Linked DNA regions of Lytechinus pictus. The protein of the gene in region 1 interacts with the protein of each later gene in a pairwise test. Links are inferred from orthologs where the notes say so. Each region holds a gene or a part of one and is shown on either strand. Other genes may lie near its edges.

What was found.
Region 2: the proteins of protein patched homolog 1-like (region 1) and E3 ubiquitin-protein ligase NEDD4-like interact in a two-hybrid assay, tested with the Drosophila melanogaster proteins (2 studies listed by BioGRID). The link is inferred for Lytechinus pictus from reciprocal best matches to the Drosophila melanogaster genes ptc and Nedd4.

The regions. Positions count from the first base shown.
Region 1 is NC_087255.1:6,104,144-6,116,225, forward strand, and holds the start of protein patched homolog 1-like, read left to right. Parts: upstream 1-7,387; 5' UTR 7,388-7,566; coding exon 7,567-7,577; intron 7,578-9,969; coding exon 9,970-10,039; intron 10,040-10,799; coding exon 10,800-10,897; intron 10,898-12,082. UniProt on the Drosophila melanogaster protein: Segmentation polarity protein. Acts as a receptor for the hedgehog protein (hh). Associates with the smoothened protein (SMO) to transduce the hedgehog signal leading to the activation of wingless, decapentaplegic and patched itself.
Region 2 is NC_087249.1:27,697,490-27,709,864, forward strand, and holds the start of E3 ubiquitin-protein ligase NEDD4-like, read left to right. Parts: upstream 1-6,775; 5' UTR 6,776-6,865; coding exon 6,866-6,898; intron 6,899-10,736; coding exon 10,737-10,822; intron 10,823-12,375. Other genes in the region: 5-formyltetrahydrofolate cyclo-ligase-like, read right to left, coding at 3,497-3,607. UniProt on the Drosophila melanogaster protein: Essential E3 ubiquitin-protein ligase which accepts ubiquitin from an E2 ubiquitin-conjugating enzyme in the form of a thioester and then directly transfers the ubiquitin to targeted substrates.

The DNA.
Region 1 (12,082 bases):
GATTCAAATTCCACAAGCTGGGCTTTAGGCAGTCGCCTTTACTCTTGTAGGCCTTAAAAAAAACCTCTGAATATTACAATATTTTTATGATGACGATTTATGGTGGTACAGGTGATGATGATGATGAATTGATGATAATGATGATGTTGATGGTGGTGGACGGCGGTGGTGGTGGTGGTGGTAGTGGATGAGATGATGATGAGGATGATTATGACGATGATGATCATGGTGGTGGTGGTAGTGTTGATGATGAAGAAGATGATGATGATTATGATGATGGTCTTGGTGATGATGATGATGATGGTCTTGATGATGTGATGATGATGATGATGATTATGATGAAGCTGGAGAAATTTGATGATAGTGATGATGGTACGAGTCTATTGAAGAAAAATCATGGCTATGGTGATGTTGACGGTGTTGATGGCGATTATGATGAATACATTTTTTAATGGGGGAAGGGGAGGGGAAGAAACAATGTTAAATGGTCTATGATATTGATTCCATGGTGAACGGTTGTATTACTTGATAATAATATGAATTCTTGGTGCGTTTAACCCCTTGCACTTCCCCTGACATCTTGCCTAATGTGAACATGCCCACTCCCCTTCTTGAACACTGTTTATCCATGAGTGGCCCTGTCAAACAATGCTGGTGTTTTCTGATTGAAGGGAAATGTGATGAATTAGTTTTGTTTATCTCAATACAGCAGATTGGTAGAAGATGGCATCCAAATAATGTATTGTAGAATAGTGCCAAGCTGCCATCATCGATCTTGGACGAAAAGGAAAAAATATGGCCCAAAATCTATAGAATTTTTTGAGAAAAGGTGGAGTTTTGAATACATTGACTCAGTCAAAGATTACCAGTCAAAGATCTATTTCATAAAAGGTAACTGGACTAGTTTAAATTTCAAATCAAAGGATTCATCGTTGGGTGAAAAAGATAAATTCTTCATTCATGTTTCTCCAACGATACCACACAGTGCCCTTGCTGTGTTACTTTTACGGTATTGTTGTAGAAATATGAATAACTTATCATTCATTTAGTGTAACATTCATTTTGGGGAATCTCATTTTCACCTGAATTATTAGGTGCCATGTGAATGTTCAGTTGTACTAGCCTATTTTTCTGTGTGAAATAGTAAGTAAATGATAGTTCTTTTTTATAACATTCTATTAAATGTATTTCCAAGTTCACATTTGTACTTGAGTAGTTGAGTTTATACTTGGCTTTAGATTTCTGCCATTTGACTTCAGCTTCTTTTGTATGGTTTGAAGCCAAGATTCAATATAGCCAGGAGTTGATAGAAGAAGAAGTGACCAAAAAATTGTCATGAATACATTAAGATTGATCATCAGGATAGCCAATAGGCATTATTTTATTAATAAAATGTCATCGATTGTCACCAAAAAATGACCGTGCAAGGGTAAAATCCTTTTCGTTCAGCATTCATTTCACTTTGTTTGGAAATTAACTCCCATGTTTCCTGGAGGAGAGGCTAGACTTGAAGTGAACATTTTGTTTGGAGGTCATCAGTTCCATCTGAGACAAAAACAACAGTTTTTTTGAAGAACATAATCCCATTCGGGTGCAATGTAATCCAGTTTTCTTCCACTCAACTTGCTACTTTAATACAAGAAAACATAAACATGGGACATGGTCCAAAGAAAAGAAAAGAAAAAAAGTATATAAAACGTTAGAATGTAGCCCCCCCCTCTCTCTTGCCACCATGTTTTCTTAAATTTTTTTAAAATGCTTGAGTCGTTTGTAAAAGAACTTTTTCGAAGGTTGCCACAAAGTGATAAAACTACATGTGTATGTATGTAGATTCGAGGTGTAATGGTCTTGTAATTTTAAAGTTGTTTATTGTGAAGTACATGAAATAATGCGAAAATTAGTATAGTAAGGTAAAGAAAAAATATTTGCAACCAAATCTAAGTATAATATGTAGGTGAATGGACGAAATGGCAATAAGACCATGTGGATAGGAAATGGCAATAAGACCATGTGGATAGTGGACGAACTGATGGTAGACCAAATGATTATAGACTAGATAGATGGTAATTGGACAAATTGGCATTAGACCAGTTGAAAATAAACCATTTATTACAATGTATTGGCCTACAAAATCCAACAGGCGAGCCGCAAGCTTTTCACTTTTCCACAAATTCCAGCCAGCCCCCTCTCCTGGCCCTCTCTCTGCTGTGCCTATGGGGTTTGAATCATTACAATTATTGTCGAAACAGACCCATTCACAAACTGGTATGAAGCCCGGCCTACACACTTGCACACTAGCCGTTACATAACTGAGTATATAGTGGAGAACGGTGGCCTCGACCCTTTGATCTAGCCAAAAGGGCAGTCTTCAATGCACATTCCTGTTTGAGTAAATAAAATAAAGAGAATTTGCTCTTCTGTCAGATTTGTAATTTAAAGTGAAAACTTTCTGAATTCTCTGCCTCTTTGCTCAATAATGTAACTAAACTAACTAACTTTCAAGAATATTACTTTTCTCCACCTCGAATTACTCACTGTCTTGCCAATATCATTCATATAAATTGTACACTTTCAATTTTTTTTTAAATACATGTTCATTTCTCGTTTTTAGTACAGCTTTTCTGTACATTTCTATTTTAACTGTTGAAATGAGCTGGCTATAGGCAAATTGGGGACTCAACCGAATTTGCCTTGTTTTTTACCATAGTGTTTCACCCACCTCCCTCAAAACGTCAACAACTTTTTTTTTATAAGAAGAACCCCTCCCTCTTGTGTTTGCGGAGAAGATGACCAAGCAGTCTTATGGAATGTGATGTCAGAGAATGAGGTGTCTTGCATCTTTTGTTCTGTAGACCCCTTTCACAATCTGCCTCTCTGTTCGTCCCATTCATTCGCCCTGAATTCCCCTTGTCTGCTATTCACTCTGCCATTCAGGGGTGCACTATAGCCCCTCTTTCAGACCACCTCTGCCCCCCTTTATAACGGTTTGTAATAATTGTAGGACTGGGTTTGTTAGGTCTGCTGGCATTGGATATTACAGTCATTGGCTCTCGGACCACAGCCCACTTTCAGTCCACTTCTGTAACTCTTCCCCCCTTTAATATAATGGTTTGTACTCAGTAGTTCAGGGCCTCTTTGCATAAAAGTTACTATTATCGTAACTTTGCAATCCTATGGTAACTACCATGGTAACAACGATCAACAGCCAATCAAAATCAAAGATTTTATGAAAGATACCATTGGATGACAAAGTTACTAAAATGGTTACTTGAATGCAACAAGACCCTTTGCCAGTTGCATCCATACTTTACACTGGCTCTCGGACCTCGGCCCACTTTCAGTCCACTTCTGTCATTCTGTACTCCTTTGCTTTATAAAAGTTTGTAGATCCGCTACCTGCAGTTGGATACATATTGAAGTGGCACTTGGACCATGGCCACTTTTTAGACCAGATCTAGTAATGGTTCGTATCTTCGTATATCTGTTGCTAGCCAACTTAAAATAATAAGCCAAGCATATACAGTGAATCTTGCTACATATGTTTTTGACTCACCTGCATAGCAGAGCGAGACTGTAGGCGTTGTTTTCTGACGGCGGCAGCAACGGAGTCAAGATTGAAATTTTAACCAAGGTTAAACTAAGTTTTTTAAATGTCATCGTAACTGAAATTATTTGGATTATTCATGAAACTTGGAAAAGGGGTGATCTAGTGTCACTGATTATCTTACATGACTGAATTCATAAGTCATTTTAGGGTCAATGAACTTTGACCATGTGGGGGTTCAACATTGAAATCTGAACCAAAGGTCCAAGGTTAAGTTATTGAAATGTCATCACTTTATAGGGATCTAGTTCATAAAACTTGGACATAAAGAGTATTTAAGTATCACATATCATCAGCATGAGTTTTAGGTCACATGATTGAGGTCAAAGAAGGGTCAATGAACTTTGACCATGTTGGGGTATTTTTTTTGAATGTCAGAACTTCTAAAATTTATGGATCTATTTCATGAAACTTGAACATAAGGGTAATCAAGCTTCACTGATTATTATGCACAATTTTCAGGTAACATGATGAAGGCCAAATGTCATTTAAGGTCAATGAACTCTTGACCATGTCGTGGTATCAATCAAGGTTAACTTTTTTTGAAATGTTATAACTTTTAAAAACAGTGGATCTATCGTATGAAACTTGGTCATATGGACAATCAAGCATCACTGATCATTTTGCATAAATAAGTTTTACATTACATAATCAAGGTCAAAGGTCATTAGGGTCAATGAAAGATGGTGTTTTTTATAATAGAAAAATGAAAGCCTGATAAGTGACAATGAGTGTAAACAATGTAGAGGACAGTCGATTGTTGACCTAAATTATTATAAAACCTGCAAGCAAATAGTGATTTATGCTGAGTATTGTTATAAGCTACTGAAATCGTCACATCTGATTGGCTCAGAACAAATTTGTCTGTGAAAATCCCTGATTTACTTGCTCCATGAAACACTCCCTAACTCTCTGAGACTGGGTGGCAAAGGACAGTCAAGAGTTTTAGCTTCATTCTGTGCTCCAGAAACGATCATCCAAACTCGCCAAAGACATTTGATGAATCTTTCTTTCCTCATGGACAACCACGCATCACTTTCAGCAGTACACATCTTGGAGTTGCCCATCAATCCTTGTTGTTTATCTTACATTTACACCCGTTTTCCATTCCTTGCCCGAATAAGATTATGTAAGATTTGTTCTGCTGACAGCCAAGCAACTATGGAGTTAACATTAGAGGTAACACCCCCATTGATTTTTCTCAGAGAGGATTTCCCATATTGAACGGAGATCGATTCTAAGGGGCTTCTCTGAGCCCCTCCGACAATGGCCCCTGCATTCATCCGTATTTGTGTTTCCCTCTTTAATTGACACGGTAATTATTTGCTCCCTAGGCCGAGTGAGCTCTTCTGCTTGGCCATTGTAAGAGGGCCTATTATGTCCCCCTCCAGCCCCCTATCATTGAATGGCTCTCTCTGGTCGGGCGAAGGCTTGATTACAGTCATTGGTCACTCCTGATCTAGGTAGGTGGTCAGTTTGTATTGACCAGAAGTGAGAAAGTGAAATGAGTTTTCTTCCTCAGAATTCACACCTCAAAACACTCGGACCCCGTTCAGAATTGGATTCTAGAACAGATCTGTGCTTGACAGTAATGTGATTCGGGTCTTTATTAGGAAGACCACTTGTTGTTCCAGGAAACCATTCCTGTGACCCATTTCATAAAGACTAATTTCTATGTCATCAGCCAATCAAATTGAATGATTTCAGTAGCTTTAAACTGTTATTGCAAACTTGTCATTTTAACAAGTTTTATGAAACAGGCCCCTGGAATGCTTTACCTTGTTGCCTGTTTCATGATGTAATATGGCCAGAAACCATTTCTGGGGCTGCATTGCATAAGATGTTGCTATTACGGCAACTTTTTTAATCGCCATCCAATGTTAACTGGCATGGGATCCCTGATTTTAATTCACTATTCAGTCTTGTTACCATAGCTGTAGTTACCATTGGATTGCAAAATTTTAGCCCATATTAATGTTTAGAGTTTTTAAACTGCATGAAAGGGTTCTGTTTAATAGTCAGGCGGATCCGGATTTTCCAAGGGGGGGGGGCACATTTTTCTGAGGAAAATTTGACAAGCAAAAAAAAAAGATAAAAAAGGTCTTCACTTGTGTATGAAAGACATTCCTGTTAAAAAATATATTCTGTGACTTTTAAAGGGGGGCCCCTTTCACACCTGTGTGAAAACTGAAAACAACATATTTACAATAATTTTTTTTATTATGACCCTCAAAAGAGGGGGGGGGGGGGCACGGCCAGATGTGGCCCCCCTGGATCCGCCACTACAGATGGTGATAGTGATGAAGATACATCTGAATATAAACCTTTTAGCCAGGACCTCAGATAGTATTAAGCCTTATTTTTGTAGACCAGCTCATTACATAGATGGGGGAACAGGTTGTGAAAGTTTGTGTAAATTTTGATCAAGGAAGCATCTCACAAAGTCGTCTAATGATTGTCACGTCTTTGCAAAATTCCCTTACATTTAAAACCAAAAGAAATGTATCTTTCTCCATTTTTATTCATATTACAACTCTATTCATATTTACTACGGATATGTTTCTGTGATGCATGATGTATCTCATGTGGAGAATCAATTTCTGTTTGACTCACAAACGAGATGAAGATACAATTCAGATCAGAGAAGACCTTACAATGTAGGCCTAGACCTCACCTCTTTTTTACCAGTGTTTACCACTTTTGATTATTATTATCAAGGATATATTATTTTATTGGTTTTATTTAGGATATTTCAGATGTCAAAACCTGTTTTAATGCAATCAATCATAGAAATGAAGGTATGACCAATCAATTAGCTTCAAACTACCAGGGTGATCTTATTGCTTTAACTTTCACCACCAGACCTCAATTGTACACTTGTGAACCTGTTGTTTAAAACCATGCACCAACATGGGTTGACAGTCTCTTGGAATAGTGCATAATTGCTTGGTGTATAATTCTATTCCATTTTGATGTAGTCCTACGACTGCAGACTCCACAAGGAGTGTGGGTGCCCTTGACCCATTCCTGGACTAAGGATTACATTAGATAGTCCAGGACCTTGGCCCCTGTGGGTCACTTGGTTCATTCATTGGAGGGTTGATTTGTGGGCTTCACCGGGGAGGTCCGGGACCTTGGATGTCAACTCCCCTATCCTCACTCTCAGTTTTGATGAACTTGATGGCTTGCAGTGCTTGAAAATACCAGTTGTTATACTAGTTGTTGTTTAGGTGTAATGACTTTTATCGCTCAGGATTATTATTTATGCCGAATGGTTGTGTTATTATCATTATTAGAATGTCCATTTTGATTTGATGGATGTTAGTGGAGTTTGGTCTTTGAAACTGACTTCAGAGGTTTCTGTTTTTCTCGATTCATATTATTTAATTATCTATTCAAATTTGTTTATTTAAGCCTGTCTTATCATTTATGTTTTGTTTATTCATTAAGTTTTATTATATATAGATTTTGTTTATTGTTATTTATTTATTCATTTTTTTTGGGGGGAGGGGGTAGTTTCAATTTTTTCAATCACCAGCAAAATTTAATTCCTATCTTCTGGGTATATTTATTAATAAATGGGGGGGGGGATGGTTGACATAGTGTTCATGAAGTGTTGTATAAATTACTTTGGAGTCTCACCTTTTTCCTATGTTTTATAGACCGATCAATTCCAAATGATTATAGGGTATGAATGTTATGGTAGAAAATATATTGTATTGTAACTTTGGATCATGTGCATTGTTTTTCATTAAATTTTTCTCTCTTTTTTCATTTGTGCAGTTGGAGGGAGGTTAGAGCAGGAATTGGAGTACACAGAAGCAACGTTGGGAGCGGGCTGGGGTGCAACAAGCCAAATAATCGTGCAAACGCCAAAGAAAGATGGGGAAAACATCCTTACACAATCGGCCTTACTGCAACATGTCAGGTCGGCCGTTCTTGCGACGCAAGTTGAAGTCGACATGTACGGAGTGTAAGTAGCACATTTTGTTATTTGTTGGTCCTTAGAACGAAAGTTAAGGTTTAAATCGATAGGACCTATATTCTGTAGGCCTAGCTTATGGAAAATGCATTCAAGTTATTATTTTGATTTGTGATATTCACTTTCATTTTCATTCTTTCATTTATTATTTGATTCATTCATCCATTCATCCATCTATTCATTTATCTATCCATCCCATTCATCCATTCCTGAAAATTGTATAGCCTACGTGTAGATGTTCCTGTGTGTTTTGGTGACACTTGCAGCATCAAAGCCTATAGGCTATGTTCTGAAATTCTGAAATTTTACAATTTTGTGTGAAGAATCATTAGATAATTTTACATGCCATGTAACTGACAATCGCATGAATTGTAATAAGAAAAAAGTCTGTGATAATGCCTAATGGACTAAGTTTTGATGTTTGACCCCCAAGGCCCCCCCCCCCCCATCGCCCCCTCCTTCAGCACACCCACCTACTTCCTACCCACATCCTCACCATACCGGAGCAAGACAGGGGTAATAGAGTCGCCCCATGGTAAATAGCTGGCTGGGTTAGACGGGCACTTTGATCCTTGTGGTGGCCCAACCAACAGGCAGGCACTAACTCAATTACGGTGGATGAAATTCTCTAGGATTGTACCCCACTAATAGAACCAAGACTAGTCAAATACTTTTGCGGAGTGGTTATGATATCACATGCCTGTATTTACAGAGGTCATTTTGATGTTGGTTTGTGCAATTGTGCTCCATATTTATGCAATGTATAGGCCTACATGTTTAGTAGGTGCTCCCTCACCCATGATACAAAAAATGATGTTATCCATGTAGTTAGAAACCCATTAAAGATTGAAGATAAGTTATTTGGATGTGATGAAATCAACAATGTAGAATAAGTTTTTGAAACTTTTGAGTACATTAGCTGATGGTAAATTTCTTGAATTAAAAAGAGTGAAATACATGTAACTGTTTAAATCAATCATGAAAAGTACTCACAGTTTTATAATGTTTACTGTTTTAAGTTAACATAAACCTAATAGTACCAAGTAATATAATTCAACTGCAAACTTTATTTTGATGTGAAGTCATGAAAGTGAAATGAAGTAATGATAATAACAAAAATACTTGTATTTAAGAGACGCCAGTCACATTTGTATCATAGCCTTTGCAAAAAGTTACATTGAATGCAGTAGAAGATAATATTAACATAATAATAAAACCATGCAACGAAAATACATCAATCATGCATCTAAGAAATTTGTCACTCGTGCTTAGTGCCCCTCAGACTCTTGGCTCTTGATGTCAGGCTGCTGGAGTTGTGGTCAATCCAATCAACACCTTCCAAGGGAAGAACTGCTTGGAATTGTTTGGGGGCAAGCATAGATCATGATAGATGATAATGCTAATGTGATGTTCCAGATGGGTGTCATATTGAAGGAGTCGGTGACGTCCAGTATCACGTTTCAAAACAGAGAACACCCAGAATGCTACTCGTGTTCCATCACTGATGCCATCAGTTATCTCTTTTCCTTTCTCTTGCTCTCTCTCTATGACACTGTTCTCACTACCTTACTACAACTAGTTTACTGGAAACTAGTTTAACGTGTAATGAGAACGGTCGAAGCGATCTTCCAAACCGGTTCATAAAACCATCTCGCGATGTAGATTTCAAGATTGCTTTGCCTCGTTAAGCTGGTTTTAGCGTAAGTGAGGATGCAAGCGTTCTTCTGGTAGCGATCTTTGCACATTTTGAGCGCGCTACTCATGACAGGTGTAGAATGCCTATGCTGCGGTTTCGAATTTCGCGCGAAACATGTCACCCCACTGAGAGCGTTTCCATATCAACAAGATCGCTTTATGTGAAGTGATTTTGAAAACCGCTTTTGGGTGATCAAATGGGAACGCTAGCAAAGCGATCTTCCAAACTGGTTTCCCAAACCGGTTTCCAGTAAACTAGATTTAGAAAGCGGAATGGGAACGGTGTCTTTTTCTAACTCCCTATAAAGATCTTTCTAATTACTATTGCCATTTCTTTCTCTCTCTCTCTCTCTCTGAAGCCCCTCTTACAATAGGTGGTGCAACTGCTTACAACCGGTGCTATTGTTTGCATCATATATCATGACCAAATGATCGCAAGAGCAATTGTGAAAGCCCCTACTCTCCTGCTCTTACTCTCTATTTTCTTTCTCTTTCTCTAGCTTTCACTTTCTCATGCTCTCAAGTTTGGGATTGAATTTATTTAAATTGATTGGGTAGCTCTGAAATATTATCTGAAGACCACCAATACAACACCCTGTTCACATTCGAGCACTATTGCCAAAAAAAAAGTATTGTGCATTTTCATTTAATTGCAATGTTTCTCTTCTTTCTTTTGTTTTATTTGCAGTACATGGAGTTTTAAAGATGTATGTTTCATAACAGAGTATCCTAGCTTTGAAGACCATTTAATAGATAGTGTGAGTATTTGATTACAATATTCTAGAAATATGATATAATTTTTTTTTATCATGAATTTCGAAGAATTGTTCTCAAATTTATTTAAAGAAATATCAATCTTGCTTCATTAAATTTGCTTTGGTCACTCTTCATTTGCAGTGATTACAAAAGTTTTTATCTCAGGCAATTAGGGTTTACATGGAGACAAGACTGCATTATATTGTTGAATTGATATCTCTGGATTCTGTTGCATTGAAATAAAAAAACAAAAACTATTGATAGCAGGGCTGGATCCATATCACAAAACTAAGCATTGATTTATGTATTTACTGTTTGACCACATCCTGCACACCCTATGTCAGCGAACTTTGAAATTTAACCTTACTAGGTGATCTGTCAATCGACAGATCAACTATTAATTTCGTACGAATTTTCTTTTTTATTTCTTTCTTTATTTATTTATTATTTATTTTTATTTTTCCGCCCTTTTCTTGTTGCCATAAAATCTCAAAATCTACATCATCAATTATCTTCAAAATATCATCAGATATGGGGACTTATCCTGTCATCTGTATGAAACCAGTTCAAGGTCAAAAGGTCATCGTGACGCCATTTTGTAAATTCACATTATCAATCATATCTTCATTATCAATTATCAAAAATTAACTATATTTTTATAATATTCTTTATAGCCTACGTACAACCACAACATTGTACGATCCTTTAATGTTCCGCCTCTTATTTTATGTATTTCAAATGTTCTTTTTTTGGTATCTACAGATTATAGAGAACATTATTCCTTGTACAATAATCACGCCATTGGACTGCTTCTGGGAAGGAGCCAAGCTACTTGGGCCTGAAAGGCCTATTCAAATACCGTAAGTACCTCCTATATTATTTTTGTGGGTGCCTCCTATATTACATTATACTCGTTGGTGCATCATGGTCTAATGGTTCTGACTCTCCCCTTTGAAACAGAGGGTCGCGTGGGTTCGAATCCTAGCCATGGCATGTTTTCTTTCAGCCAGAAATTTATCCACACTGTGCTGCACTCGACCCAGGTGAGATGAATGGGTACCCGGCAGGACTAATTCCTTGCATGCACTGAGCGCCGGTGATGGTAGCTCGAGCTAAAGCCGGGGTAATAATAGCAGCGCTTTGTATCCTCAGGCTAAAAGCGCTTTATAAATCCAGCTATTTTTATTATTATTATTACAAGAAAATGAATAAATGTATGATCATATAAATAACTTTTTAAAGTCATGTAATATGCAGAGGTGGTATGGCTCAGTGGATACGCAGCCGGACTATGAATCGCATTGTTCAGGGTTCAAATCCCATTTTAGCCCTTGCATCATTTGACAAGGTGTGTTTCAAAATTTCCCACTCTGATGTTTCCCCTTTATTTGACTGATTTTGTTGTTTGGCCTATTATCATCATGTACAGTTGTGCTCCAAAGTTAGTGAACCCCACCACAAAATGCACTCCTTCATGCCGAGTGTTGAATGCCGACAACAACACTACAATGTTCAGCGAGCCAAGAGAAACAAACTTCATTAGATGTAATATTTTATCACCTGACTTCAAAACCCACGATTAAATATCTAAAACATGGCCGAGGTGGGGTTCACTAACTTTTGAGCACCACTGCATATATGTCTCGATACGTTTCCCTATTTGTTTTGTGAACTTGGATGATACAGTAAGCAAAGTTTGTGATAAAACTGTCATTTGCCTTAGTGCCCTTATCCACGTTAAATTTTTGTGTGAAGGGTTTATTATTGCATTGGAAATGTTCCAGGGCCCCGTCTTACAATCAATCGTAACTCTATGGAAATCCATCAGTGTCATAATTTCTTCTACAGAAAATTTGTAAAATGTCCCTTGTAAACAAAGGAGAACACACCAAATTGTCAAGAAATCAATGAATTTATGGATATACATTCATATCTAGAATTTTTTTTGAACAAACATGCATTTTAAATGTTGACCTTGCTGGCTTCCCATAGTTGCGATTGATCAGATCAATCGCAACTCTTCGTAAGACAGGCCCCTGGTATAG
Region 2 (12,375 bases), on another chromosome or scaffold:
TAGACTTTTCACAAAATTCACCAAAAAAGTGCACAAAATCCTTCAAACGATTTTTTTTTAAGAAAATGCCAAAGTGCCCCCCATGGCAAGCTTGGTCACTCCACATAAGGCCCACTTTCGAAAACTTTTCATATAATTCATTCTCCCTATTGCAAATGAAATCACTCTAAAATGTGTCCTTGCAGTGTTTTGCTCTCATTATTTCATAACATAGGGAAAATAACATGAAAAGTTGTACTTAGATATCAGGTAAAGTACATCTATGTAATCTTATGTATCTAATGTGGTGGGAGGGGGATTTCTTTAAAGAATGTCATTCATTGAGTCAAAAATACATGAATTTCCAAATAGTCTAGATGCTTCTTCTTCTAGTGTGAGTAGTGCTTCATCCAATCGAAACTCCTCAATACATTCTGAGGAGTGCAGGCACAGTGCTGCCTTGAATATGAGGAAAACACTACTACTAGCGACATGGAAATTGAGACTAGGGCTGAGGTTAATGGTGAAAATAGTAAATTATACTTGATTATCATCTAACATTCCAATCGTAAATGTGAAGTGATCACTGAATCTTTCTCTGGGGGTCCAGAACATTCAATGTGCAGTGTTTTAATTTAACTTTTGTCTGACATGGTGTAAAGGCTTGGTCTGATGGTAGATTTAATGGCAGCGGGGGAAGGCATAATATCAAGTTTGGCTAAAAAATCAAGCCCTTAGCATATCCCCTAGATCAACATAATGTCGAGGCAACAAATTGTTGGCACACAAGTTAGGGCACTTTTGCATCTGGCGATGAAATTTCAGTCACATGGAGCATCTTTTTCTTCTTCTTACTACTTAGAATACTTAGGGAATATGCTGAACAAAATCATTTTGACTCTGTATTCAGTTCCAAATTCCTTCTTCTTCTTCTTCTCCTTCTTCTTCCTCTTCTTCCTCAGCTGATCCCGGAGATCTACAGACGCTAACGTTGGCGAAGGACAATAAGAAACAAGATGGCGGCGTAAACATCGAGCAAGTTTCCCCGTCTTTTCATAATATTTTTCTTGTTCTTTTACTGAATTTTTGTTTAAAACTGACTGAAATCGATATCGTAGAAATGTCGGGGATCTTCATGAAAATATACCACATTTACATGATTTAGGGCTAGATCTTTTAGAAAGAAAGTAAAAATCACAGCATGCTCGGGGCGAAAGTTCCTGTTTTTTCGCAGTACACACACATGAATGGGACGCAATCCCTGGCTCCGTGGAGAGTAAGCCTACGTTAGTAAATGATTTTTACTCTCCAGGAACCTCCTGATTGATCTGATGGATCATTGTTTACTTTCAAACTGTCAACATGGATTTTCTCCAAATTGGTCCTGTATGACACAGCTCTTATGTGCAATGGAAGAAATGACACACACACTTAATGCTGGAATTCCTATTGATGTCATTTATTTAGACTTTTGTAAAGCAATTGACTCTGTTCCTCATGAGAGGCTTCTCAAGAAATTAACGTCATATGGTAGTATAGTTGGAAAATTACATGCTTGGATAAGAGCCTTTGTAACAGGAAGGGAACAGAGAGTGACTATCAACGGTGAAAGTTCTGATTGGAGTCAAGTACCTTGGTAAGCAGCGGCATTTCGCAGGGGAGCGTGTTAGGACCCATTCTCTTTGTCATCTTTATAAATGATTTACCTAATATTTTGGACAATTCTGTGTATATTTTTGCCGACGATACCAAAATCATCAATGATGTCAGCTCTGATGTTAAACAAAAGACTCTTCAAGCTGATCTTACTCATGCTGTCGAATGGAGTGAAACCTGGCAACTCAAGTTTTCAAAATGCAAGGTTCTACATATTGGAAAGACCAATTCAAGAAGTGTTTATACTATGAATGGAGATGAATTAGAACCATGTAAGCAGGAGAAAGATCTCAGTTTTATTATGGATGAAGAGCTCAATTTTCGCCAACATGTCTCAGCAGCTGTTTTGAAAGCTAACCAAATACTTCTTCTTCTTCTTCTTCTGGAAACAGTACAGTCCACCGTCTGGTGTATTGTCGTACTGGTGAAGTGCAGCGTGCAAGTGTATGTACATTATTCGATAAAAAATTGCTTACAGCGTGCAAGTAAAAGCAACCACCGTTATTAACGGAGCTGGGTCTTTTGTACCTCTTGTTTAAAGATGTGTAGAGAGGTACAATTAACTGTGCTGTTGGGGAGGGAGTTCCAAAGTCTGGAATAGTACACAGAACCTTTTCTCAAATAACCCCTGAAATATTGTTTGTATCTCTGATTCGACCTCATCTGGAATATGGGAACATTTTATGGCATGTGAGATTTAAAATGGATGCAGACAAAGTAGAGAAGGTGCAAAGGAGAGCTACTCGCATGATTCCTGGTCTCCAGAGCTTACCGTATGAGCAACGTCTAGAGAGACTAAACCTTCACTCACTGTTTTACAGAAGACGAAGAGGAGATGATTACTGTTTACAAACTGTTAAATGGAAAGTTTGGGATCTCGAGTGACACATTCTTCACACCAGTAATCCATTCATCAACTAGAGGTCACAAGTTCAAGCTTTTCACAGGACGATCTCGGCTGGAACTTAGGAGTAAATTTTTTAGTCAAAGAGTAATTTCTGACTGGAACAAAGTGCCGACAGAAGTAGTGGAAGCTAAATCAGTGGAAATGTTTAAACATCTGTTGGATAAATTTTGGTGGGGGGAAAGATTTAAAACCTCCATTTCTCAACGCACGTAAAGTCTCACAAGTTTAAACTGTCTAGATAATGGTCAACCACCGGAAGTAAAGATCGGAAAACCTACAGGAGAAGTCTTTCATTTCCTAGACAGGAATAACCGTCGTTTCTGGGGATTTATCTAACAATTTCTGACATTTTACTAATACTATCATGAGCCATCATAGTTCAGCGGAACAACCAACATTTCAGAGACTGAAGCTTTTGGTCTATTCATTTCCGTACCTGATGTGATGTGATGGTATTGATCGGCCATTTTGTTTTTAATTTTGACAGAAGGAAAACGAACGAGACGGAACTTTTCCTTTTTTAGAGGGTCCAGTTTGTGCCTCGATGTCAAGATAGCTGTGTCATGACACTCATCCTACGAACGATAGCCAATATGATAGACCTTCATCCATATAATCGAGGTAAATGCATAATTTATTTTTCCCCTTTTAATTATTTGAAGTGCTATTCCGACCCCATTTTGGAGAGTATATGTTTGAATAGTATTACACGGACGACTCTCTGGGTTAGGAGAGTCGTTGCACGTTGCCGTTGGAAAATAAATTCAGACAAACATTGACATGATAATAGTCAATACAACATGTATAATGGCATAGACGTGTCTTATATTAATTAAAGTTGACATGAATTGCAGCATCTGGGACCGAAAATTAAAATGCGTCGTCTGCTACAATCTCAGGTAAAATATTTGTCTTTTCCCTACAGAATTGAACATGATTTATCGGTTCACTAACCTTTTTTGTTATGTAAAGAGACTGCCTGACCTTCTCTGGCTCAGAAAGAGCTTTCAGTCTCTTCTTTAGCTCTTGTCGAAGAAGGTTTTTCGCTTGATGGACAGCCTCCATGACTCTAAACCGGATGTAACTCAGAAAAGTGCATGATGGGATCGTTAAAACATGTAGATGGCGCTAGACCAATGTGGTGCGAACTGAATTAACTTTGATAAATAAAAATCTGGGTGCAAATATATATATATTATATATATATATATATATATATATACCTGTTGAAACGTCTGCTACGAACTTGCTCTGCTATATGGCCTGAACAAGCGGGCTTCTCATTTTTACAGAATGTAGGCATATGTCATTCTATAAAGTTTTCTAAAAAACTTCAAATTGAGCTTTGGTGCTAAAGCTTCTCCTTCTCCCTTCACCATGTTCGCAAGCAGGCTCCTGGATTGTGCCGGGCTGAAATCATTCAACAGTATATTATTCCCACTTGACACGTCCATTTTTATTCACAAACTTTAAATGGTAGAAGTTTGACTTTCCTCGCTTTGCGAGAGAAGGGGAAACAAAAATCAGGCTTTTTGCGAAAACACAATGCTATAGCTATAGACCTATTCCTCAAAATAGAATTTTCTTACCTTTTGAATTACAATCACATGAAGGTTGGATTTTTATGAAATATAACTTTACCAACAAAAAATGATGAAGCTTCATTTGGGATATATATATACATATAGCTTTTACACAACAGATTGATTTAACGCAGTTCCGTAACTACCAAATTTTAGGGTGTACACTAAGCACAGGGGCCGCTGAACGGTTTTCAAAGTGGGGGGGCTGACCATGCTAAAAATCACAATCATATGGTCATTTTTACGTTTTTGTACACGGTTCCGCGGCCCCTGATTAGCAAATGTGGGAAAATTTGTAAAAAGTCGCCAGCGAGCCAAGTGATCGAGCCAGAAGAAAATTGGCCTTTTGAAATGAAATTCTAATTATGTGATAGATTTTTACATTAATTTCAGGAAATAACATATCATCATTGTTTTCCATTCATTTCATTTTGTTTTATTGCCTTCTTTACTTTCTTTTATTTCCCCTTGGCTGTTGAACCAAGAACCCCGCATGCAGGAATTAAGAGTCCTTAAAGGGATGGTCCGGGCTGAAAGTATTTATTGCTTAATAAATAGAGTAGAATTCACTGAGCAAAATGCTGGACATTTCATCGAAATCGGATTACAAATAACAAAGTTATTGAATTTTAAAGTTTAGCAATATTTTGTGAAAACAGTCATCATGAGTCACATCCACACTTGTTCTTTTGTATTTTATAATATGAAATTAGGTTTATTCAAATTTTTTCCTCCAAGAACTAGAAAAATTGGATTGACAACTGATTTAGTGCATTAGATATTTATTGCTGCAACTTATTTAATTATCACTCTAAAAAATGTTTACCCAATATTGGGTAAAATGGGAACATGCATGTTGGTTGGGTAAAAAGATACCCAGTATGGTGTCAATTTAACGCAATGTTGCGTTGAAATAGCCCAATATGGGGTAAAAAAAATACCCAGCAAACATGCATGTTCCCTTTCTACCTAATAGTGGGTAAAATTTTACTCAGTGTTTTTAGAGTGATATAAGGGAGACATGTTATTCACACAAGTATGAATTAATGAAAAAATTATGATTTTATGTAATAACATAAGAAAACGGAAAGTGGAGATGTGACATCATCAGCCCACCTAATGAATATTCATGACGACTGTTTTCGCAAAATATTGCTAAAATTTAAACTTCAATAACTTTATTATTTGTTATCCAATTTTGATGAAATTTTCGGCATTTTGCTCAGTAAATTCTACTTTATGTATTAAGATATAAATATTTTCAGCCCGGACCATCCCTTTGATAGAGCCATTTTAAGGTAGATGAACTAGTTTGTACGGTATAACCCTTGCCATGCATGCAGTGTAAAGCTTTATTACGGTAGGGTCATAGGCCCTATCACGTAATAAGGGGATGTGTACGTCTAGCCCTTGGGATTTTTTGTCCTGATTGCGACCTTATTGTATAAAATTTAGCAAGCTAATATAATAATACAATGTTCCTTCACTTCCCGCTTTTTTTTTCTTTTTCAAGATTTTTTTATTTCTCAACTCATTCCATACATAGGTATCACATGCACAGATACAACATAATAAAAAAAAAATAGCACACATTTCAAACAAATTCAAATAAATGGTTCATTTTGTATACAAAATATCTTTTGTTCGATGCACGTTTATCAAATTACGTTTAAAAGCAATAATTCTCTCAGTTGTTTCGATTTTTTTCCAAACCAAGCATAAATTAAATGAGTAAAAGTGGGTTTGATACATGAATAGATGACATATTTTGCAAACAACACAATGATATTGGTATAAGATGAAAGTTATTGAGGGTTATAACTCCAAAAATGTCAATGTCACTGAAATATGTACTTCTAATATGCTTGGCCTTCAACCACTCGTGAACTTCGTACCAAAATGAAATTACATATTCACATCTAAGAAATAGATGAACAATTGTTTGAACGTGGTTTTCACAGAAATTACATAAAGGAGAATCTTTTACTCCAATTTTAAATAAAAAATCTTGTATTGAAATTCTTCTGTAAATAAATTTAAATTGGAAGTTTTTAATTTCCCGATGAAATCCACCAGTTGGGGAGCCCGCCAATTGTGATTTTTTGCATGGTCAGCCCATCCCCCATCCCCCCCCCCCCCCCCACTTTGCTGCCCCCGGGGCTGCCCCGGGCCCCTGATGCGGGCCCTGATGCATGCCCTGCATGCCCGTTGATAGATCCGGTATACGGATCCATATCCGTATGAATCCTATCTGGAGAAGTGAAATTTGTCAATATATACATATTTAATTGGCTTATTAAGACAGTTTTTTGAACAATTGTCCTAGTTGATAAAGTCACTCTTACGTATACATGTGGAAATCTACAAAAGTTTTACAGTTTGTATGAATCATCGTATTTCGTAATAAATTCTTCTCGCCCGGGTTAGCCTTACCTACAGACTGAAAAAGAATGAAGGAAAAACTAGAACTGATATAGGCTTATTCATGCGCTTGTGTAATAATCTTATTTCAGTTATTTAATATTTTAGTCTTATTTTTTTCTCCACGGATTCCACCGGTTTCTTTCTGTCTGGTCAATACCCCCCGCCCCCCCCCTCCAAAAAAAAATAATTCTCGCCCGATATCGTTGAGGGCGCAATTCATCGAGTTATTTATAGAATCGACGAAGGCGAGGGTGGGAACGGAAAAGTTTATTGTCAAAAATATTGACAACATACTTACCAGAAATACTATTTGTACATGGCAACAATATATGGTCTCCCCGAAATGCAGGTGAGTTCACGATGTACTGAATAAGTTGATTGATATGACTTTTTGTAGTAAAATTCAAATTTTTTTATGAGTCCTCGCCAGAAATTCCGGTAGGCCTACTCTCGTCGATTATGCTTCCCTGCCGCTGCCCCCGCCGTACCGCTCACGGGTTTAACTGCCGACCGCTCTGGCTGATATTCATGCCAAAACTGGTGTAACGTTAGGCCTAACTTTAGTTAGAGTAGACTACGCCGTGTACACTGTAGGCCCTGCGTGGAATGTTGCAGGATCAGTGTGGATGTGCATGGTATGGTGAAGATCATTTAGCAGGGTTTGCCGGCCATTCCGTGCGTTTGGGAACTGGTCAACAAATCGAATTTATATTATAAAAAATTATTTCACCACGATATGTAAAGAAACTTTGGCGATTTTGAAAGTAATTGATGCGAAAGGCTTTGTAGTTTGTTTACGATGTGAAGCTCCTCACACAACTGGTTCCCTCTTTCCTCATGCAATATTTATGATCGGGCTCAGATTGCCATGGGTGGACAAGTTTCAAGACCACTCTGCCACTTTCACAATGTTGACCAAAAAATTATTACAAAATCGATTCATTAAATAAATCACAAGATATACCGGTAGGCTATATATTATGGGGATGAATCACTTTAAACTCTGTATAATCATATTGAATGAATTTCTGATCGCGTTAAGAGGGGGCATCTGTGTCCTTTGGACACGTCAAATTTCTAGTCCTTCCTAAATCTCTTATAGATTTTATGTTAGATAATTCTTGATAAACCTCCATATTTTTTTTTTCAATTTAGTGGAGGCTGGAGGGGACATATGAAACTGGAAGTCTTGCCCAATAGTCTAAGGGTTAAAGTGAAAAAGGGCAGCAGTTTCAGAACTTCTAGATCTAGATCCAATTGATTTTTGTTAGGCTTAGACTAGACTTTAACTTTATCTAGATCTAGGCCTAGATCTACATGTAGTTTAGACTGAGGCTGAGACCACTCAAGGTTCCAACTCAGGTGTCGTGCACAGGAAAGTGCAAGGCATAACACCCGTGAAACTTCCATGGAATATTTTATTATGTAGACATTAGTCAGATTAGACATCCCTAGTGAAATAATTTTTTGCTATGCCGCCCTCTATATGCATCTTGTAGCTTAGTTACTAACAGAGATAAGATGTGAAAAAATTCCCATTTCTACCACATATATACTGTAGTTTAAAGTCGAGTAGGGGGTGCTTGATATAAAATCATTTTCATTAAAATGAAACATGATCACAGAAACTATTCAATATATTATTTATTTCTTCATTACTTCCACTAATCTTGAATCTATAATTTGTTCTTTCTGTCTGTTTTTCCTTTTTTTTTTCTCTAGATCTATTCCCTTTTTTCTTTTCTTTTTTGTTTGTTTAAGGCCTATCTTTTTATTCTTTTGCATTTATTTTTATTTTCATTTTCTCTTTTATTTTGAGGGCTTTTTATTCTACTTTCTCTTCTCAATAGTTTTTTCTCTTCTATATATCCGTTTTTTTCTTTGTTATTGTTCTCCTTATTCTTTCGTTTCTTCTTTTCATCTGTTTCAATTGTTTTTTTTTTTCTCTTTCTCTATTTTTTTTTTTTTAGATCTCCTTGCTGTAGAAGTTTATTTTGAAGACAAAGAATTGACTGTTTTTATTTCCTTTGACTTTACGATTTGTTTTTTCTCACCACTTTATTTGCCTCCTTTATCTATCTCATGCTTAACATTAATATCTGATTACTTCTCATTCCTTTTACATCACCATCCCTTCATCTCCTGCTTTGCATTCCTTACACAATAGGCCTACTATTTGCAATGATCTTTTGTCCCTTCATGTTCATTTCATGGTTCAGTTAGCCTGCAGTTACTGTCTTTGCTGTTATGCTGAACACAAGCGATACGTCTGATGTGGCAAAGACTACAAACTATGGATGCAAAGCATCCACCGCCTATAGACACCCGTCTTGATTTGGATTTTGTTTTTTAATATTGACAATGAAATAACGCTGGTTTTTCGTACGAAAAATTCTCATGCATATGTTAAGCCATGATGTCACTTTCTTCATCCAAAATGGCGAGTACGAGTACACGTGAAAAACTTCTATGAGAAAGTTTGGATTATGGAGCTGACAAATTTGGCATGCCTAGTTAAAGTAGTTATTGATGACGGGAGGATATATTTGTCGCTTTACCAACAGGATATAGAAAAAGCGCTATCTACCAGGCAATCCCTCTGTGTTATGATTATCTTCGCAATCACGTCTTTTATGATGGAGATGTCTTAATTGTTGACACATGACCAGGAATACAGGTACCGGTTCCGGTACCACAACATGTCAAATGACAAGATCATGGGAAGTACGAATTAATAATCGTTAATTTGACAACGTCATGTCTCTCAAATATACTTGAAGACTATAGTTTAGCAAAATATTTAATCTTTTATTTTAATGGTTGTTAAAAAAAATATAAAACATTGTTTTGCAGACGTTGAGTTTATGTATCCCTATCTCCTGATTTGTTTTACCCCCATTAAGTAATGGACGAGCAGAATCTTTTTCTTTGCAACTTCATGTATCTGATGGTTGAACGTAACTTTGGTAAGCCATATTAGGCGTGGTTGTGGAATTATCCATAAATTCGTCATTTTGAATAAACTTGAATATTTGTTAGGGTGTCTATAGGCAGTGGATGCTTCGCATCCACAATTCGTAGTCTTTGCCACATCAGACATATCGCTTGCGTTCAGCAGATTAGCAAAGACAATAACTGCAGCCTCCGCTTTAGATTATAGGCTATGGTTCAGTTGATTTACATTGAAAGGTTTAGCCTATATGATTATTTAGTGAAACTTACCCTTATTCATAGAAACTCATTTAAATTTGTTGTAAACTCATTTATTTTCATATAATTTCTTTTATATGCAAACTTTCTTATTTGAATATTTAATATTTACAAATTATTGTTAAACAAAGAAATAAGCCCGCAGATTGAGATATTAAGTACACCTCCGCCAGGCAGATTATCACAGGCAAGCAAAGAGTGAACATTTGTATATTATTTAACTCTGTAGGGACATACCACACCTAGGTGACCACATAACAACTACCCTGCCCACAACCTTTACAAGCAAAAAAATCACTCTTGGACTCCACCTTGATGCAGCCAGGGGGGGGGGGGGGGACAACATTTTTAATACACTTTTCTATTGTCTCCTTTAAACAAAAATGCTGGGGGATGCTGGATCTACCACTGGAGGATACCATAACACATTGTCAGAACAGATGATCCATGCATCACTGAATAGAATTTTACTGGGTCTTTTTTTTTGCATGCAGTGAGTTCCAGTAATGAAACTAGGAAAACTCTCAATTATGATAATGTAGATCAAGGAATTGTGATAGGACTCTGAGCAGCTAGCAAGTAAAAGTTGTTGTAAAATCTTACCTTTTTTTTAGGCAAAGATGGCAAGGAGTCAAGACTACATTTTTTTTTAATGAGATAAGCTTCATTCACAAAATTGGTACATTTTAACATTTAATATTAGGCGTACTACTCCTCAAGTATTCTAGTTCTAGGGAATTGTAAGTTTCTGTTGGACCTTATCATGCATACCTTTTTCATGGGGTAGTCCCGGACATGTGATGCTTGTGATGAAGAGAGTCAAAGAGAATAAAATTAGGTTGCATTATTGAGGGGACAATTGGGGTTTGTCCTTACATCCTCTTTGAATCAGAAAAATAATAGATTTTGATTTGGTTGTGTGTTCCATGACACATTGCTCATCTCTATTTTGTTTTGTGTTTGTCTTTTTTATACAGGGGGAGGCCCCTGGAACTACCCGGATCTTGAAAGTGAGAGTTATAGAAGGAAAAGACCTGGCTAAGAAGGATATATTTGGTGCAAGGTATGTTTGAATAGATTCTCATCATGCATCACGTTCCTAGGAATCCTCCAAGTACTGTTGATTAGTTAGTGGTACATGTAGATGTGTATGGTTTATGAAATAAAACATGATTTAAAATATTGTAAGCCAGTCCAGGATGGGAATGAAATATGAATGCCAGTTATACTTACATTTGTAATATTAACCCATCTGTTTATGTGGTGAGTGCTGAGAAGCATTCATCGTAAGTTATTTTAAATTTGTGAATCATCTGTGTGTGTGTGTGTGTGTGTATAATGTGCTCTAAAGAAAACTCACAAATACTATTGGTATTATACACATAATACTGTATATTATACATGTACATGTATGTACATACTACATAAATACATGGATTGTTCTAACATTTTGATGCCTCAACAAGAAATGATCTAATTTGCTCTTATATATTAAAGTATAATAGGCTACCAACATGTACATGAATGTTCAGAAGCAAAGATCTTTGTGCATGAAATCTTTAATGAATGTCCATATGTTTCAAGAGTGTGGTAGAAAAAGAAATTGACAATGTTACCAGTGTTAATTTGAAAAAACTAAAATTTCTCCTGATGGATTTGACAAAAATACAGCTCTAGCTGAAATTGAGAGATGAGAGTTTGAGAGGGAGAGATTGAAACTAGGTGAAGGTCTGTGAAGATAGAGACTATTCTTTGACTGATCAATAATTTGTGAAGTCTCAGTGAATTCGAATTGGTAGGCCTGCCTGGCTGGGTTTGAGGAGAGAGAGTATCGCTGTTGTGACTTTTTTTTTTTTTATCACCTTTATTCAAAACAAAGCAAATGGAAATTACAAACAACGAAAATAAGTCCAGGTTACTCGGTTTTTTAGGACGAAGTACAGGTCTAATATAAGAATTACAATACAGATACACAATATATAACATATCACAATCAAATTTACATAAAACGATTATACATTGGTGATTGCAGAAAAGAAAATTGAAATAGATCAAGCACACACCCTTACAACTGAAATGAAGAGAGGATAGAGGGGAGATAGAAAGAGTGAACTTGATGAAGAGAGATAGGAGGAAGAAAAAGTGTGACGAGTGAAAAGAAGGGGAAACAGGATAAAAGGATAAGACAGAGAAGGAGAAAGAAGAAAAAGAGGAATATTTGAAGCCAAAACAACAACCTATATGCTGTTAGAAGTAAGAACGCTTATAAAGAATAATGCATTTTCATCGCTTAAACTGGGAATGCAACCCAAATAAAAACTTGTTTTTAGAGGAAAAGGAAAAATCAGACAAGTTGATAGGTGAAAGTTTGAACAATATTGGACGAATAATAAGGAAGTTATGAATTTTTAAAAGTTGTAAAAATTGGTTAATCACTATACCCATGGAGACTACAAATAAGCCAGTCTGTAGTTCCACTCTGCGCATGATCAGAAGATTCTGCGCATGATCAGAGGAAGGTCATTTGTACTAAAGTGACATGGTGGTTTAAAATTAGTGAGATAAGCACCAACTTCGATGTCTTGATTATTCATATATTCTTTTGAATTGTGTTTT